Solanum lycopersicum: one gene and its partner. The protein of the gene in region 1 interacts with the protein of each later gene in a pairwise test. Links are inferred from orthologs where the notes say so. Each region holds a gene or a part of one and is shown on either strand. Other genes may lie near its edges.

Evidence for each region.
Region 2: the proteins of ADP-ribosylation factor GTPase-activating protein AGD3 (region 1) and VAN3-binding protein interact in binary tests that used the Arabidopsis thaliana proteins (3 or more experiments, as listed by UniProt). The link is inferred for Solanum lycopersicum from reciprocal best matches to the Arabidopsis thaliana genes SFC and FKD1.

Annotation. Positions count from the first base shown.
Region 1 is NC_090804.1:32,000,265-32,008,290, reverse strand, and holds part of ADP-ribosylation factor GTPase-activating protein AGD3, read right to left. Parts: 5' UTR 7,767-8,026; coding exon 7,722-7,766; intron 7,602-7,721; coding exon 7,525-7,601; intron 6,647-7,524; coding exon 6,546-6,646; intron 5,624-6,545; coding exon 5,553-5,623; intron 4,754-5,552; coding exon 4,691-4,753; intron 4,329-4,690; coding exon 4,284-4,328; intron 3,512-4,283; coding exon 3,446-3,511; intron 3,303-3,445; coding exon 3,255-3,302; intron 3,145-3,254; coding exon 3,049-3,144; intron 2,970-3,048; coding exon 2,928-2,969; intron 1,817-2,927; coding exon 1,601-1,816; intron 1,482-1,600; coding exon 1,350-1,481; intron 1,268-1,349; coding exon 1,043-1,267; intron 923-1,042; coding exon 836-922; intron 755-835; coding exon 419-754; intron 1-418. UniProt on the Arabidopsis thaliana protein: GTPase-activating protein (GAP) for ADP ribosylation factor (ARF). Involved in the spatial control of provascular differentiation. Required for the formation of the normal pattern of continuous secondary veins.
Region 2 is NC_090808.1:60,539,399-60,547,852, reverse strand, and holds the start of VAN3-binding protein, read right to left. Parts: upstream 4,757-8,454; 5' UTR 3,753-4,756; coding exon 3,429-3,752; intron 2,966-3,428; coding exon 2,828-2,965; intron 1,129-2,827; coding exon 687-1,128; intron 521-686; coding exon 284-520; intron 182-283; coding exon 132-181; intron 44-131; coding exon 1-43.

The DNA of each region.
Region 1 (8,026 bases):
AATTTCATTTTTCTGACTATTCAGCTACCTAAGGAATTTTAGATAGTCAAATATATTAGAGCCATGAACCAGGAAGAAATACATGGGTGTCAACCTCCTAAACAAACAAACTGGTTTTCAGTCAATAAAATTTGAGAATAAGAAACAACCTTCTAGAAGATCTTGTACCATCTGCTGCTTAAAAGTTTGAAATCGTAATAAAACTCTAGAATGTTAAAACAATATAAAATCCATGGAGTTGCTAGAGTTTGGGCTTCCCAACTTTAACTTTTCTAACTAGAAACAAATGAATATGCACCTAAAAGAAATAAATTTTGGATCCTCTGAATGTGCATAGAAAAGAAATGAATTTTAGATCCCAGCAAGATGCAATATAGCCTGTGGCTAAATAATACTTAGCAGAAATCTAAAAGTTCACCTTTGATATATGCACACCAAGATTACGATGAACACCTGAACATTCAATACAAACAAGAACACCAAGATTTAAAGATGCCCAATCTGGTTCAGCAGCACCACAGTCAGCGCATCTATCATTTCCACATACTCTACGTAGTGTGGCAATTGGCTGTTCACTTTTTGGAGCAGATCGTAGCTGCTGTGAATTTCTGAAAGGGCGATCATGATGCGCTGAGATAAGCCTGTCAGACGGATGGTCTTCAACTGCAGGCGGGTCAAAATCTGAACTTTCAAATGAACTGCTCTCACTGGCAGATCGATGATGACCACTTCCCATAGGACTGGCAGTCAAACACTGAAATAAAGATTGTAAACTATTATTGATTGTGCATCGAAGTAAAGACAACAAAAATGTATAGCAGCTTCCAATAGTTACCCTGTCAGGGGCCTGAGAACTCAACAAAGAAGCAATAACTCCTGTTATTTTCTCAATCCAATCCATTTGGTCCAAGGCACTCTCTGCCTACAATAAGAGGGAAACCGATAAATTTTGATCTCACAAGTCTAGCAGAAACTCCACCCTGCAACAACAGTGCATTGGATGACATGAGATACCCAAAATGAAAATTCAATAGCAATTCACCTGCAAGGTGTAGCTCTTTGTAGGGGAGATAATCCTGAAGCAAAACCGCAGATCTGATTGGTCAGCATCAACCTTTATAGTTGATGTCAAAAGGTTTACAGTGTGATGAGCAACAGACTTTTCATCGTGTACACCACCATGATAATGGGACGAAAGCCAGCGACTAAGAAGTCCAGAACCAAGCTCTGAACTATTTCTCTGGCCAGAATGTTGACTACCTGACCCCTGCAAACCAGAAAGTGAACTCAAGAGACCACAAAGTAGGGTTTGATGGTATTTCTTTTACATCCCAGCCTATAATACTCACAGATGGTTTTGTGTTCTGTTTGCGATAGTAATACAACATTCCACGGCTATCAAGAACAAAGAACCTTCTTTTCCAGTCTCCCCTCAAATTTGATGAGCGCTTTGATAGATAACCTTGTCTAATGGTTTGAACCTGAAAGACCACTGTAATTTTAGCTGACTATAGGTGCAAAGAGTAAACAAAAGGAGTACTTAAGAACATGAAAGCAATAATAAAGGGTACAATAAAGTTAATACAGAGGTTTTCAACACCTTTCCCCTTGCAGCAGATTGCATGACAGCTTCTATTTGCTTGTGTGAACTTCTGCCAATGGCTTGTATACCATCTCCATTAGGGGATCCATTAGAACCATTGGACAACCACCTGCTCTCTCGATCTACTTGTCTCTTGTATTCTTGCATCTTTTCATTAAGAGCTGCTTTCTCATAGTTGGAGCGTTCTCGAGACTGCTGTGCGTAAGTCAGGACCTGCAAAAAAATAAATGACATTGAATATCTACCACTTAGAGAAAGCAACAGATATAGATTACTATTTATGCATTTCAAAATCATGTCACATCGGCAGCAACTTAAGTGTTCAATAACTCCCAATACCAGTCATTCTAGGTCCCCTGACAAACAATAAACCAATGCTACATAATACACTCCTTCTTTTCCAGCTCTTATATGTGGTGCAGTTTGTATTGATATGGAGTTTAAGGAACAGACTTTTTTTTTCTTTGATGACAAGGGAAACATGCAGCCGCTACCCTTTGGGTGCGCACAGGGTAAAAACCCCGCTCCTATGCAATAGCTCGCAAACCACATAGGAGAGGTAACCCGCACTAGGCAAGCCTTGTTCGACGAGCTCGACCCAGAAGGCAAACCCCTTGCTTTCGCTGGCAAGGGGTTTCGAACTTGAGACCTCCAACATGGAAGTCCCAAGCTCAAACCACTGGGCCACCCCGAAGGGTTAAGGAACAGACTTTTGAAACTCATAGTCTTAAACACGCAATGATATTTGTGTGAGTACAAAAGGTTCTCATTAAGGGTATAATGGAAACTTCCAAACATTTTTTTTTTAAACTGTTAAGCTTGTATTCTTCAGCATTAAAGGCATGCTGTCCACCACCAAAAAGTGTCAATTACAAACTTCCTATCGAATCTACAATCTGATCTGTATCTACTATAGACAACTTTTTACACCAAAATAAAAATACCGCATAAAAATGGAAACTGTCATTCTTTTTGGAACAGACTAGTAATGAAATAATACCGCAAAAATGGAAGAAAGGGAGTAACACATAACAAATAGTCCTTGAAACATTACAAGAATGTTTCCTGTGCGTGTTGAGACTCATGAGACATGAAAAGTGCCAGTTGAGACCATTCTAAGTAAAAAAAAAAAGGAAGAAACAGAGGATAGTTGCAGAAGGATGCAGAGTATTCTCATTTACCGTTATCTAAATGTAAATTTTGATCATTAACCTTTCTGTAGGAAATAAACCAAAATTTGTTGCTACCTAATCTGTGATTTTAATTGAAGCAGCCTCAATCAAATATCAAATTGCCACCAATGAAACCAAAAACAAAGACAAACCTGATTGATATATGGCTCCATCTGATGCAAAAGCTCATACCCCTAAAAGATAGAGAAATAGAAATAGAATGTGAGAAATTGAAAACAAATAGGCTAGAATATCCCCAACAGAATGACATGCCTGTTTGAAATAACGAAGATGAGCATCCATTGTACCACTAACTGCTTCCAGGAATTCAAACCGTTTCTTTGCTTCCACATTAGAAAGAGCGGTTACCTGGATTTAGGATTCAAATAGAAAAAACAAGTCAACAGACCATTGCTATTGTGGTAACACTTTTTAAATTGAAAAGTCTTAAGAAATGTTCTAGCTCCAGATTCACTCACCAAACTGAATCGAGCTTGCTCAAAAGTTGATCTTGCATTATGAAGTTCCTAGAAGAGTTAAAGTCGTGTTAAGTAAGTTTTTTCCCTTCCTTTATTTTCAGAGTAGGCAAAAATATGTGCAACAGTTAAACAAGAGCGACTTCAGAAGGTAATAGGCAGTACGAATGGTTAGCTGCTATGTCTGTCAATACCTCCTCCAGTACACTGGCAACATCACTTTTTGTGCCTTTTCTTAGTGACAAAAACTTCTCGCGGGCCTGCAGCATGGAGCATATAATGTTAATTGATATAATAGAAGATCCTTAAATCACAAACAGAGAAAGTGTAAAGCGTTCCTATTATTTAACTCAGAATTTCAATTATCTTGCAAGTTTTTTGTGCAAACTTAAAGAGTTTCTTCAACCCCATTGAAGTGCTTACATATATCACCAGGATAAATTTTTAAATGGGAGGAAATGATCGAGGTAAACCAGAATATCGTGATAATAGATATGTAGTGGCCAATGCATTAAGACCATTTTCTGAAAATTAAGTCTTTTAATCCCATTGCCGACATATAGGAAGGTGTGGAGGACGTGAATTAGGGTAGAAGGTTAGTAGGTAGGAGTATGTTCATGCTAGAAAGTTAGTTGGTGCCCTTACTATTAGTCTTAGTGCTATGCTTGTAGTTTCTTGTTCTTCGATCTTGTTGATACATGTTGTTTTGTGTAGTTTGATTGTAGTATTATTTGGTTGTAGCATTGTTACTTCTATTACGTCTTTCTTTAGTCTGTTTTTGTCTTGAGCTAAGAGTCTATCAGAAACAGATTCTCTAGACTCTACCTCGCCTAAGGTAGAGGTATGGTTTGCGTACACTTTGCCCTCCCTAGACCTCACTCTGTGGGAATACACTAGGCACGTTGTTGTTGTTGTTGTTAATAGAGGAATAAGTTCTGCATACTATATAGTTCTCTACAGGAAATATTATATCTTCAGTTCATCAGATGGTGAAATTTCTAATCATCTAATGAGAATTAGGAATGAGAATACCTGATCATAAATTAGGCTTGCCTTGTCAAAGCGCTTCCGAGCTTCCTGCACAAAGAGAACTCCTTGTAGCAAATACTTGCACAATTGTTTTATATTTGGGTATGCAAGCCCACAAAATCAGGTTTTTCACATATAGATGTTTTTGTTCATTTTTAAAATGACCGAGAAACCCACAAAGGCCAATGTCTCATTGTTCAAAACTCGGCAGATAATGGGCCCACCCTCCACATTATCCACTAAAATACCAGACTTTTTGACGATGGCAGGGCTCAGAACTGTTACATGTGCCTAATCCACAGAGAACACACTTCGCTTAACACTAACCAAAGTCATGGACACTTACATATCCTGAATTAGTAATCAAAAATGCCTTTTAGAATAGAAAGGAAGTAAAAGAATGGTAGTACCTTGACATCTTGCAGATCTATGTTAACAAACTGCAGTAAACGATCATTCAGCATGTGCTCAACCTGAGAAGACAGTATGAATGTTGGAGAAGTAGGTAATTAGTTAAATGCATATGCCACTATGAGACTAAATAGATCACTTGCAGTTCTATTTTTTTTTCTCCAGGGCCAACTTGTGTGTATCTCGACCATTCCATCCGGTTCCTGCTACCTCCCAACAACACAGGTACCTAAATCTTCCCTCAAATGCTTAAGCAGATGAGAAGAAATCACTTGCAGTTATAAATTTGTTCTTTCCACAGGAAGGACAGCCTCGAAGGAGGAAATATCAAGAATAAAATGTCAAAGGGATCAGAAAATTTTGCTAAAGTAGAAATACAACAGCAAATAATTCAACTAGCACAAGAAGAATTTCCATAAATTACTGAAACAAAATCAACATTCAAGTTTGCTTAAAAGATGAGAGAAAAAGAAGAGGGAACAGAAAAAAGAACCATATGTTTTAGGTCGCAGATGGTGAAACTCAGAGTTAGTGTTCTTAAAATTTAAGATGGGCAACATTTTAACACAGATATTGTGGAAATGAGTGTCGAGGACATAATAGATCTCAAAATAGAGCTCAATCAAAATCTACTTAGTAGCCATATACTGCATATCAAGGTGAAAGTAACTGGTCAAGGCAATAATTCAGAAGCACACCCCACAGAAAAGGGTGATATTGGTTAGATGTTTTGAAGTCATCTCTTGAAAGGCAACTGATGCTGCTTTCTGCCCCAAATAAGGAGTTCAGAAATACAGCATCAGAAGTAATATTCCAGCAATAAAATAAAATTGAGAAACAAAAGATACTGCAAAGCTTTACCTGTGACCGAAGAACTTCCTTATAAGTCCCGATTTCCCTCAGTGCAATAGTAAATTTAGTCATTACAGGGCCTACATTTAGAACGGAGCAAGTGACTGAACAATGGATCATTATTCAACAGATCACATGTCGAAACTATTAGTTGCAAAGTGAAGTGCGGAAGGATGAAATCATAAAGGTCAAAGCACTATAATTAGAATATTGAAAAGTTATCTCTGCATTTAGTAGAGCCAATCTCTCTAAGCAGGTCAGACAAACTTTCGATGAAAAACGACATTTAGCTGATGCCAAAAATGAGGGGAGAAAAGTTGTGGAGATTTTCAGTCGAACACTAACTTATACTTTCTCGATCCTTGTAAGTGTTGCAAAGCAGAAGATCCTCATTTAAGTCTCACTTCACTAACAACTATGGTAAAGTCTACTTAGTGAATAAGCACAACAGATCCAGGAAGTTTTCTCAACCTCCATGGCATTCTCGTCATAAATGGCATGTGAATAATTGGAGATGTGGTCCCAACACCAGATTACATAAACAAGTACCACGTTAACCAATGATCAAGTCTCATTGTCCAACTCCCTCAAATGGTAATACCAAATAGGCAGATACTAAAGAAAACAAAATAAAGAATAGAGAGGGACTTGAGACTACAATCAGGATAGTGGATGACTTTATTCTTGCACAAGTCAGTGAATTAGTGGTTAACATCTATAGAAGGTTACTGGACTGTATTCTAAAGGGAACGGCAAGGATTGGAAAAATCATATATTTCCCAGACCATAATTTTCCATGCTTCCATTGCTCTATGAGATGTCTCTTCATCTATGAACCCACAAGAAGTGCATCTCATGTTTTGTGAATTGTTATTAACACTTGAAAAAAATTACAAAAATGGACAGAGAAAATGGTGTGTGGAGTGCTGATCCTGTTGCTGTAGGATAAACATTTGTAGCTGCCAAATATCATATGAATACATGTACCAGCTCTTTACATACCTCCAAATGCAACACTGATGGGATCATTGTGCCCCCCACCAAATGTTTCCAGGGCGCTCGCGAAAGCAATATCTCCATCATATCCCTCTCCAAGTCCCTCCCTGAAAGTAGAACAGAAAACCTGATACGTGAAAACTTCTACAAATTCACCAAGGATAGGAAAAGAGGTTGGATGTCTATTAATCAACAAAACAACCATAAAAGGACTTATGGAAAGCTAACTATTGAACTGATATAAACATTCAAGCCCTATAACACTGAACTTTCACTATGACTTGCCCATTGACAGGCAGCTGAACTACCCTGCACTGACTTCCCAAAATAATAGGTTCCAACTAGTAGAATTTCGGGAAAGATACATCAACAAGATTCTAAGAAGATTATTACTACCTCCGTTTCAAAAAGAATGTCCCTATTTTCTTTTTTAGTTTGTTTCAAAAAGAATGATCCCTTTCCTTTTTTGGCAATAATTTAATTTTAACTTTCCACGTGGCATATTTAAGACCACAAGATTAAAAGGCACTTGGTACAGTTGACATAACTTTAATTTAGAACCACAAGATTAAAAAGCCTTCTTTCTTTTCTTGAACTCCGTTCCAAGTCAAACTAGGTCATCCCAGAAAACAACCTTTCTTATTCTGTTTCTTTTTTCTAAAGAATAGATTGTGATGCAACCAACTGATTTATAAGTTAGAGTTCAACAAAAACTTTATTATCAGAAAGAATCTACAAAAATGAAAATAGAAACATAAAAATCAAGTAATCATTTGGCCGTTAAGTGATAACACCAGAAACTAATGATGTTTACGTTAATGTGTTGTGAGATGAAATGACACTCCTTTAGAAAAATTGCATTTCTATTAAAACAGCAATTACTGTAGAGTACTCACTATTGCCATAAGAAACCAAATGAAAAAGAACAAAGCACAGTTTATTAAGCCCACAACAAAAAAGAAAACAACTATCAAAGAATACTCACGTATATTTTCGACATCCTTTATAAAATTTCAAGCTTCTTTCTCTTAGTGATTCAGCACTTTCTTCAAAACATTGCAGCTGTTTTCACCCAAACATCATCAGTACACAATACAAAGTGAGAAAATGTAAAAAAATTCATAATTATGGATCTTTAACTAGTAAAGCAAGACTCCAGAGCAACAGAGTAAAAGAAGCAACCTGTTTACGGAACATGGGAGAGTCATCGAGTTTACCAAAATGCATGTTTACACAACTGATTCTTCTTTTCTACACCAATTCTCAATTAACATTACAACACACCATATGAAAAGATGTTCGATCTTGCCTGATTTAAACTTTTATCAAATGCCATAACAAAGATCTACCATTTCAACTGTCGTTATCGATCTCAATTGAGTAGACAAGAACAAAGCTCAACTAGTAACCACAAATCAAGACGATGGATAGATGTATGTTGGTACAAAACCCTAGAGAGGTTGGATAGAAACCCTAGAAATGGAGAG
Region 2 (8,454 bases), on another chromosome or scaffold:
TAATAGTTTTTCCAACATGTTTGCTTTTCATTTTCAGCATCACCTGTGAAATAAGTAAACATGAAATGGTAAGGACTAAGAACATCATCAATAACAGTTTAAAGTTATCGAGTCTAGGGAGGTGCTTATACCTCTCCGCTACGATGAAGGTACACAGAAACAATTTTCCAGTGTAGATCACCTGAAAACCGCAAAATAAAACAAAAATTTAGAAACAGAACAGAAAAAAAGAAAATCAAATTTTTGTGGCATTGTTAGCAGGGGAAAGAATTATGCAAATTACCATTACGAGTTCTTTTGAGAAGCTCACGTCCTCGAGCAAGTAATTCTTGATTACAAACCCCCAAAAAGTTCTCTTCAATGTCAAGTCCCTCACAATAATTATTATTGTTGTTGCTGTGATTTTGGTCGTTGTTTCGCCCTGTGCCTCCACCTATTCCCTTCTCTATTGGAATTACTGCTGCAATGTTCCATACTTCCTTCAATGCTCTTGCTTTTAATGTTGCTGCCCCTCGCAATGCTGCGAAAAAACAAAGAACATATTAGAACTATCTCAAATCCCAAATATTAGCTCGTCGAATTGGATTTGTTGTTTAAGATATTTATGTTTTGCATCTTTGGTGTGCATAAATTTTAACACTTAAAACTTGTATAAAATTGAACAATAGAAGTATTTTGTTAGTCACCTGTAGCAGCAGCAGCAGTAAGAGTTGAAATATCTCCATGAGATCGAACATTAACAGCAGAGCTGATCGCGGACATGAGATGGTCCCGATCAGCTCCCATAACTTCGGCAGCCTCCACGCACTGCGCGGCAATCAGCATGGCTGCCGAAGCGACAGCAGCATCAGTCTTCGCCATTTGCTCATCTTTGGCGGTGGACGAAGCTGATGCGGTGGCCGCAGCAATTGCGGCCACCGAAGCAGCAACTCCAGCCACTGAAACAACAGCATGAAGTTGGGCATTTTGGGCCCTACTTTCTTCTTTCTTTTTCTCTCTCCTTTCTTTTAACCATCTGCCAACTGTCTTACCACCAGGCGTGTTGGGTGCTAACCCAACAGCTGATCCAGTGTATCCTGTTCTTACATTTGTAAATAATGGTTGCAGAGTGCTGTTTGCTTTCAAATACTGTAACACAATATGAGAAAATGAAATATGGTCAATTAACTGAACTCAATATTTTTTTTATTAGTATTGAAGTATGAAAATATTCATATTTGATCACATGATTCAAATGTATAATGGTCAATATGTAAGATGGTAAAAACTTATTTGTACAGTGTTTTTACACTAGACCGATAAATACATTACATATGCTTTTTTTTTAATCACTTAAACATAGTTAATTAATACATATTTTCATACATTAAGTCACTCGACTATTAAAAAAAAAAAGTGACGAACACGAAAATTCGCAATCGCTATTTTTTGGGGTGTACAGGATAAAACTCTGTTGTTATACAATAGCTCGCAAACTACATAAGAAGGGTAATTCGCACTAAACAAGTTTGATGAGCTTGATTCGAAAGGCAAACTCTTTGCTTTCGCTAACAGGGGATTTCGAATTTGAGACCTTACTAAACATATTAATTAAATTGAGTTGATTGACCGTGAACACCAGTAAAATCTAAGCTTCTGTTTGACTATAGATTTGAGTTTTTGAAGTCATGTGACATCCATTTTGCTTGAGTTTTTATGAGTGAAAATCCAAAAACTTGTCACTTGAAAAATACTTGAAGATTGATGATATCAAATTTAATGACCAAATAAGATAATTTCTCAAAATCTATGAGAAAAATCTTGAATATGACTTTAATGAAGTTGACTACAACATGCAAATAACAAACATGAAAATGTATAACATTGAAATAAATAGGTAAAATTTAACTTTTAACACAAGAGAGGAAAACATGTTGATAGAACACTAAAAAACAAGCAAGGCAGAATTCTGAAATTGGTAAGTGACAGAATACTGAAAATTGTAATGACAAAATGATAAAAAATGACAAAAAGAGTATCAATTTTCCATTCACACACTCCACTTAAAAGTTTCTGTTTTGATAATCCATAGCTAACTAGATACAACAATAAATCTAAGTCAATTTTGAATTGTACTTGTAGCATATTTTTGTGAAAGTTAATTAAGACAAAAACAAAAATTGGCCATTTCTACATATGACATCTTCACGTGCTATACATAATAACAAGGTACTCCATACGATAGGTTATATATATATATATAGATCATGTTATGTTATTACAAGGTTTAGTCTATAATTAAAAGGCTTTTAATTACCAAATAATTATTTTTTTTTGTTATATTAAAAGTGAACACAATAAAAGTGAAAAATACATTACTAAAATAGTAAACAAGTAAAAGAGAAAGCGAGCGAGTAACTTAAATTCATTTTAAGCGCCAAATTGGCCCTTTTGCAATTTTCTATAAAAAAAAGTTTATGTTTACTTTTTTTTGTTTTACTAACTTTTTTTTTATCTCGTATAAAACCAAAGTTAACATCTTTTTCTTTTTCTTTTATGGCCATTTGTGGGGGTAGATAGATTTATTCCCTAAACAAAGTCAAAAGGTGAGTTTGATTAGACGGCTAAAGCATCCTTGTAATTTGTAAAGCAAGAAAAAGTTGTACATTGATATTAACAAAAGTGTATTATGTTTAACTTTGGAAATGGGTCCAATTCATACATAACCCCTTTTTTTCTACTACTATCATCATTAACTAATAACAACACCTTATCATAATCAAACATTTAAATAACAAAATAAAGTGATTTATGAAATTAATTAACATTAATGAGAGAAATTAATTACCTTAACAACATCTTCAAATTCTTCAGAAGGTGAGACTGGAGGACTATCAGTTTCTTCAGTCAGAGAACCATTCAAAGGCCCACTACTATGAGATAATCTTCCTGATGTTAATGGTGATATTTCCTGCCCATTATGCATCTAATAAAAAAACATAAATAATGTTAAAAATACTAAATTACTCCATGAAATTCCCCTGTACATAATAATATTCTAAACAAACAAAAATAAAACACCCCTTTCCCTTTTCATTTTTATAATAAACTAATTCCAAATAAGTTGCATCATGAATGTAATTCTACTTGTATAGTCTATCGGCCATACCTCCTTATAACCGTACTATTTTTTTTGTTGCAATAAAATGGTCCAAAAATACGTTTAATATGGTGATATATTGTTCGTTTTTAGACCAACTACATAAATTTCTACGATTCATATTGCTTATATCAATCAAAATGTTTAACATCATACGTCTCTATAACAAAATTGTTTTGTGAACAATTTTTGTTATACATCATACACACTTTGTAACAATATTTCGTTGGAGCAATCAAAACACATCCAGACAAACGATACTGTTAGAGAGAGGGTTGACGGTACTTACAGATTGAGACATAATGCGATCAAGAACAAGTTGTGAAGTAGCAGAGGAAGCAAAAGAGAATGTGTTTCCAGCAAGCTTATTAGCAGAATCTTCTTCCTCAACAACAGAGATAATGTTCTCTGGTATAGTAACAACAACACTATTATTATTATTATTCGTCTTCGTAGGAAGAGATGAGGATGATGATAATGAAGAAGTTGTTGTTAATGCCTTGCAAACTTGCAAAGCAGAGGCACTCCATGATCTTGACAAAAACTCCATTGGTGCTTTTGGACTTTCTGGAAGATTCATATTCAGGTTCTTTTCTGACCATCTATTATCCATCAAGAAGAAGAAAAAAAAACACTAATAGGAGCAAATTTTTAGTAGTAACAACTAGTAAGAGTGTGAATTGCTTTTGAAAAAGAGTGCAGGGGTCTTGTTAATTTTTAGATTTTGGGGGTGTTTTTATAGTGGGAACTTGACTTGTTAATGTTGTCCTGTTTTGTACACATATGACTGAAAAATGACTATAATAATTGTAATGTAATACTCCTCCGATTCATTTTATACGAGATAGTTTAATTCGGAGTTTAAGAAAGAAAGAAAGACTTTTAAATTTGTGATTCAAAATGAATCATAGCAATTTGTGTGGATGTAAATCATTTTATTAAGTATAAAATAGATATTTTATAGTTAAATTGTTACTTAATATAAAAATGTATCATACTTTTTTAAGTTGATTAAAAAAAAAAGTAAATCATGTAAATTGGTATAATAGCTTCGTTAAAACACATTGATTGTTAAGTCATTTTCATAATTATTTTAACTTATATGTATTGATGTAATGTTACACTATCAGGTTAGGTAAGAAAAGATAAATAAAGTATTACATTCGATCTAATTTATTTGTTTTATTTTAATTTGATATGGAGCTTAAAAAGCAAGAAGAATTATGAATATGATGTTCAACGATTCTAATTTTTCATCGTACGTGATCAAGATAATATTTTGATACATTCTACATAATTTTAGTTTAAAATCACAAAATTTATATATTTTCTTCACTTTTTAAAATTTGGTGTCAATTCAAATTTCGGACAAACAAATTAATATGAAAAAATTACTTTTTTAATCATAAAAAATATTTTTATTTTCGAAAAATTTGGCCAAACATATCAACATAAATGAATCTTATAAAATAAGATAAACATTGATGGAGCCAATAACAACAATATACTCAACGGATAGAATATATATAAATTTTACCATCAGCTCAAGTATATAGAGGTAAAATGGTTTGAACTCTTCGGTTCAAGTATAACAAATCCAAACATTAAAAAAATAGTGCAAAAATCAGTACTAAACAAAGCAAAACCTATAATTGTAATAAGAAGATTTTTTAAAGAAGTACAAAATGTTATATCTAAAAATTAAGGGAATTTAATCGTTCTTATAAATACAAAAGAAAATTTTTGCCCACTTGTATAGCATGCTTTTCAAAGAAAGTGGACTTAGGTTGGTATGATAAAAATTTTCATAAAAAAAATATTATTTAATAATTATATATAATTTAGGTAAACATTATATAAGTTAGAGGTATCACAAAGATGAGTGTTATAATGAGTGGGATCAAAATAAAGTGTATCAGAGGGTGAAGATAACACAATCAACACGAAACGTCATTAATTATTTAAATTTTTTTCTCATGCTTTCACCGTTTATTTTCTTCATTTTTAAAGAATATATTTTCTAAAAAACAATATTTTGCCTATCCAAAAAAAAATTTCTTTTCATCGAACACAACCTTAATTTAAATCATTTTCTACTAATAATAACATGTTAGATTAAAAATCTAACCAATTATTGAGTGTGTTTCAGTTGAGGGATAAAATTGTTGAAAATGAGGGCAAGTGGGGCAAGGTCAAGCAATTGTGTTTGACTTATTGTCAGGGATTTCTTTTGAAAGATAATTACACCAAATATTTTGGTTGATCCCAGGCATACAGTGGTGGGTAAAAGCTAAAGTTCAATTGTCCCACAAATGAAAACTAATAAAGCTTTCCAATAGGGCCTACACCACTAATATGGTTTATATGGTATAAATATCATTTTATCAATACAATAAAAATAATTTTTAATGACAATAAGTATTGATATTAATAAAGATTGTTAAAGTTTTTACTGACAATAATTGAGTGTCATTAGAACCAATGTCATTAAAGGTTTAGGAACATATATAAAGAATGCTAATTGTCACTAAAAATACATATTTAGCGACAATTAAAAATTTATTATCATTAATGATCATTTTTTACGTAATCTATTCAATATTTGTTCCTACTTTTAAAATATATACATTGTCCTAACATAAACTTACAAATAATATTGCCATTTTTTTTTTATTGTATAATTGTAAGGGTTAAGAAATAAGTAAAAGTTATAGGGAAATTTTCATAAAGTATATGCATTAGTTATTTAATATAACGATTGATTCAATAATTACATCTTATCCTGAGTTTGCCTTTAGATACACGACATTGAACTAATATATCTCGCTTCTCTCCTCTCTCTCTTATTCATGTGTTTCATTGTATATGTATTTTATAATATATTGAGTTTTACAACTTTATGTATATATATATTCAAAATCGATTATGCATTAGTGTATTTAGTGTATTCGTGCATGTAAATGTCATTAAGCGTGTTCGGTGTAAAATAAGTATCTAGTTTATCCACTATTAATTTCATGTATTCAGTATCAAATATACATTGATTTATCTAGTGTTTTTATCGATGTCAATTTCATTCAGTGTGTTCAGTATCGAATATCTAGCATGCACTATCAATATCATGTATTTAGTTTTTAAGAATGCATTGATGTATACGATCTATTTGTACATAATTATGCATTGATTCTGAAATGGTAATGATATATCCAATGTAATTGTGATATATGTAGCGTATCTATGCATAAGCACATCATACCAATATAAAAATTAAATTACATGCACATAATATCAAATTTGTGATATATCTAATGTATTTGTGCATACATAAATTTTTAGAAAAAGAAGAATAAAGATACACTTATCCAAGTACATATATTTGTGCATAGATGCATATATCATCTTGTATAATTATGACTTAATAGTGGTCCTTCAATGATTATGGTATCAATCACCTACCCTTTATAAATTCAAATCCAAATTAAATAATGTGTGATTATGTAATCATTTTAAAGTAATGTGATAATTATACTAAAGATATTTGCTTATTTTATGTAATATTTTCGAATGCCCTTATCTAGAAGAAAATTAGAGTCAATTTTGAAATTTTATGTCAGTGAATCGGAGTGCTAAATCTTCTAGGAAAGTGAATATATGCCACTAGTATAAGCACATATTTTAAATTCTAATATATACAGTTTGCTATGGAAAAATCTATTGGTTGATCAGATTAAAAATTATTTTTTCTAATAATATAACTAAAATGACTTTTTTTAAAAATAAAAAAAAATCATAAATAAAATTTCAAGTTTTTTTTATTCGATTATATATAAATTTTTTAGAAATAAATTTGGATGCAGCAAACTGGCAAAAATATGCAAGAGGAAAAAAAAAAAAAGGAAAGGCAGTAAGTATTCTTTTTTACTTCCTCAGTGGGGAACTCGACTGGCTCAATATTTCTTAAAAATTACTTCTAATTTTTCTCATTTTTGTTGATCAAAATATGTTGGACACAAGTTATTTAAAAATCAGAAAAATGACTTTTAGTAAACAATTATTATAAGGGTCGGTTCGGTCATATGATATACAATCATGATATGATATCAAAATATGAAATCATGAGATAAAGTTGAAATTTTATTTGGACATGTAATTTGACATTTTTGTGTTGTATATTTTTTTTATATACATAAAAATCTCATAAGTTATGAACTACTCCATTAAAATAGCTTCAATTGTTTATTTAATCTTATCAAATAAATAAAAATTAATTAAATCGCATAATAATTATTATAAAATTATTTGTTCTTCAATTAATTAACTGTTTCATTTAACTTTAATTGCTCAAACTTTAATTCAATAAAAACTATTGTACACAAATTATAGTGTACTAGTATTTAATATAATCCTCTCACATAGCACGAACAACCTTCTCACGTTGAACTTGCATTTCTCGACTGTACGATCGTGAAGACGAACCAACATTGTTACGTTGAGCCATTTGTTGGTCAATATCAGTCACAACTATATTTTCATGCTCATAAATCATAAAAATTTCATCACTCCTTTGACATTCTCGCAAATAATTATGTAATGCTGTAAAAGTTATGACAATTTTTACTTGTGTGTCAATATCATATATATGGTTCATGCCTTGTTTCACTTGTGTGCAATTACACATTTTCAGTGCATTAGTTTCTTGCTAAAAACAAACATATTGGAAGCAGTGATTCTCAAACATACATCACCAATTTTGTCCCTTTTTATACTAAATTATTTTAAACATTTTCATATGTAGTCGAAAGAGAAGCATTTTCAATTATGAAAAACCAAAAAAGTATTACTTCCATGTACTTATTTATATTCATCAAATCAATTCATACTTTATCATTTATATTTATCAAATTTAAAGCAATAATAAATTTTAAAAATTAAAGATGTGATTATTAATTTTATTTACAATAAATGATTATTAGTTATACATGTGGATTGTTTTAATAAAATATAAACTTGTGGGTCCATTTTTATATCTAAAAAATTCCAAATCATGATATGAAATTCTCATCTCATGAATGGAAATCATGAGATAGAATTAGTGTGGAATCAGATGTCCAAACGCTGATTTTATATCGTAATATGATATCGTTTGGCCAAACGCCTTTCGTTGTCTATTCCACCGTCAAAGCCTCCCAACTTCCACATCCTCTTTCATAGTGTTTTTCTAAATTACGTATAAATATTTTTGAAATAATGTTATTGCTTATTATCAAACATAACGTCAGAAAAAAATTTGTATATTTTTTGAGAAAATGTTTCCA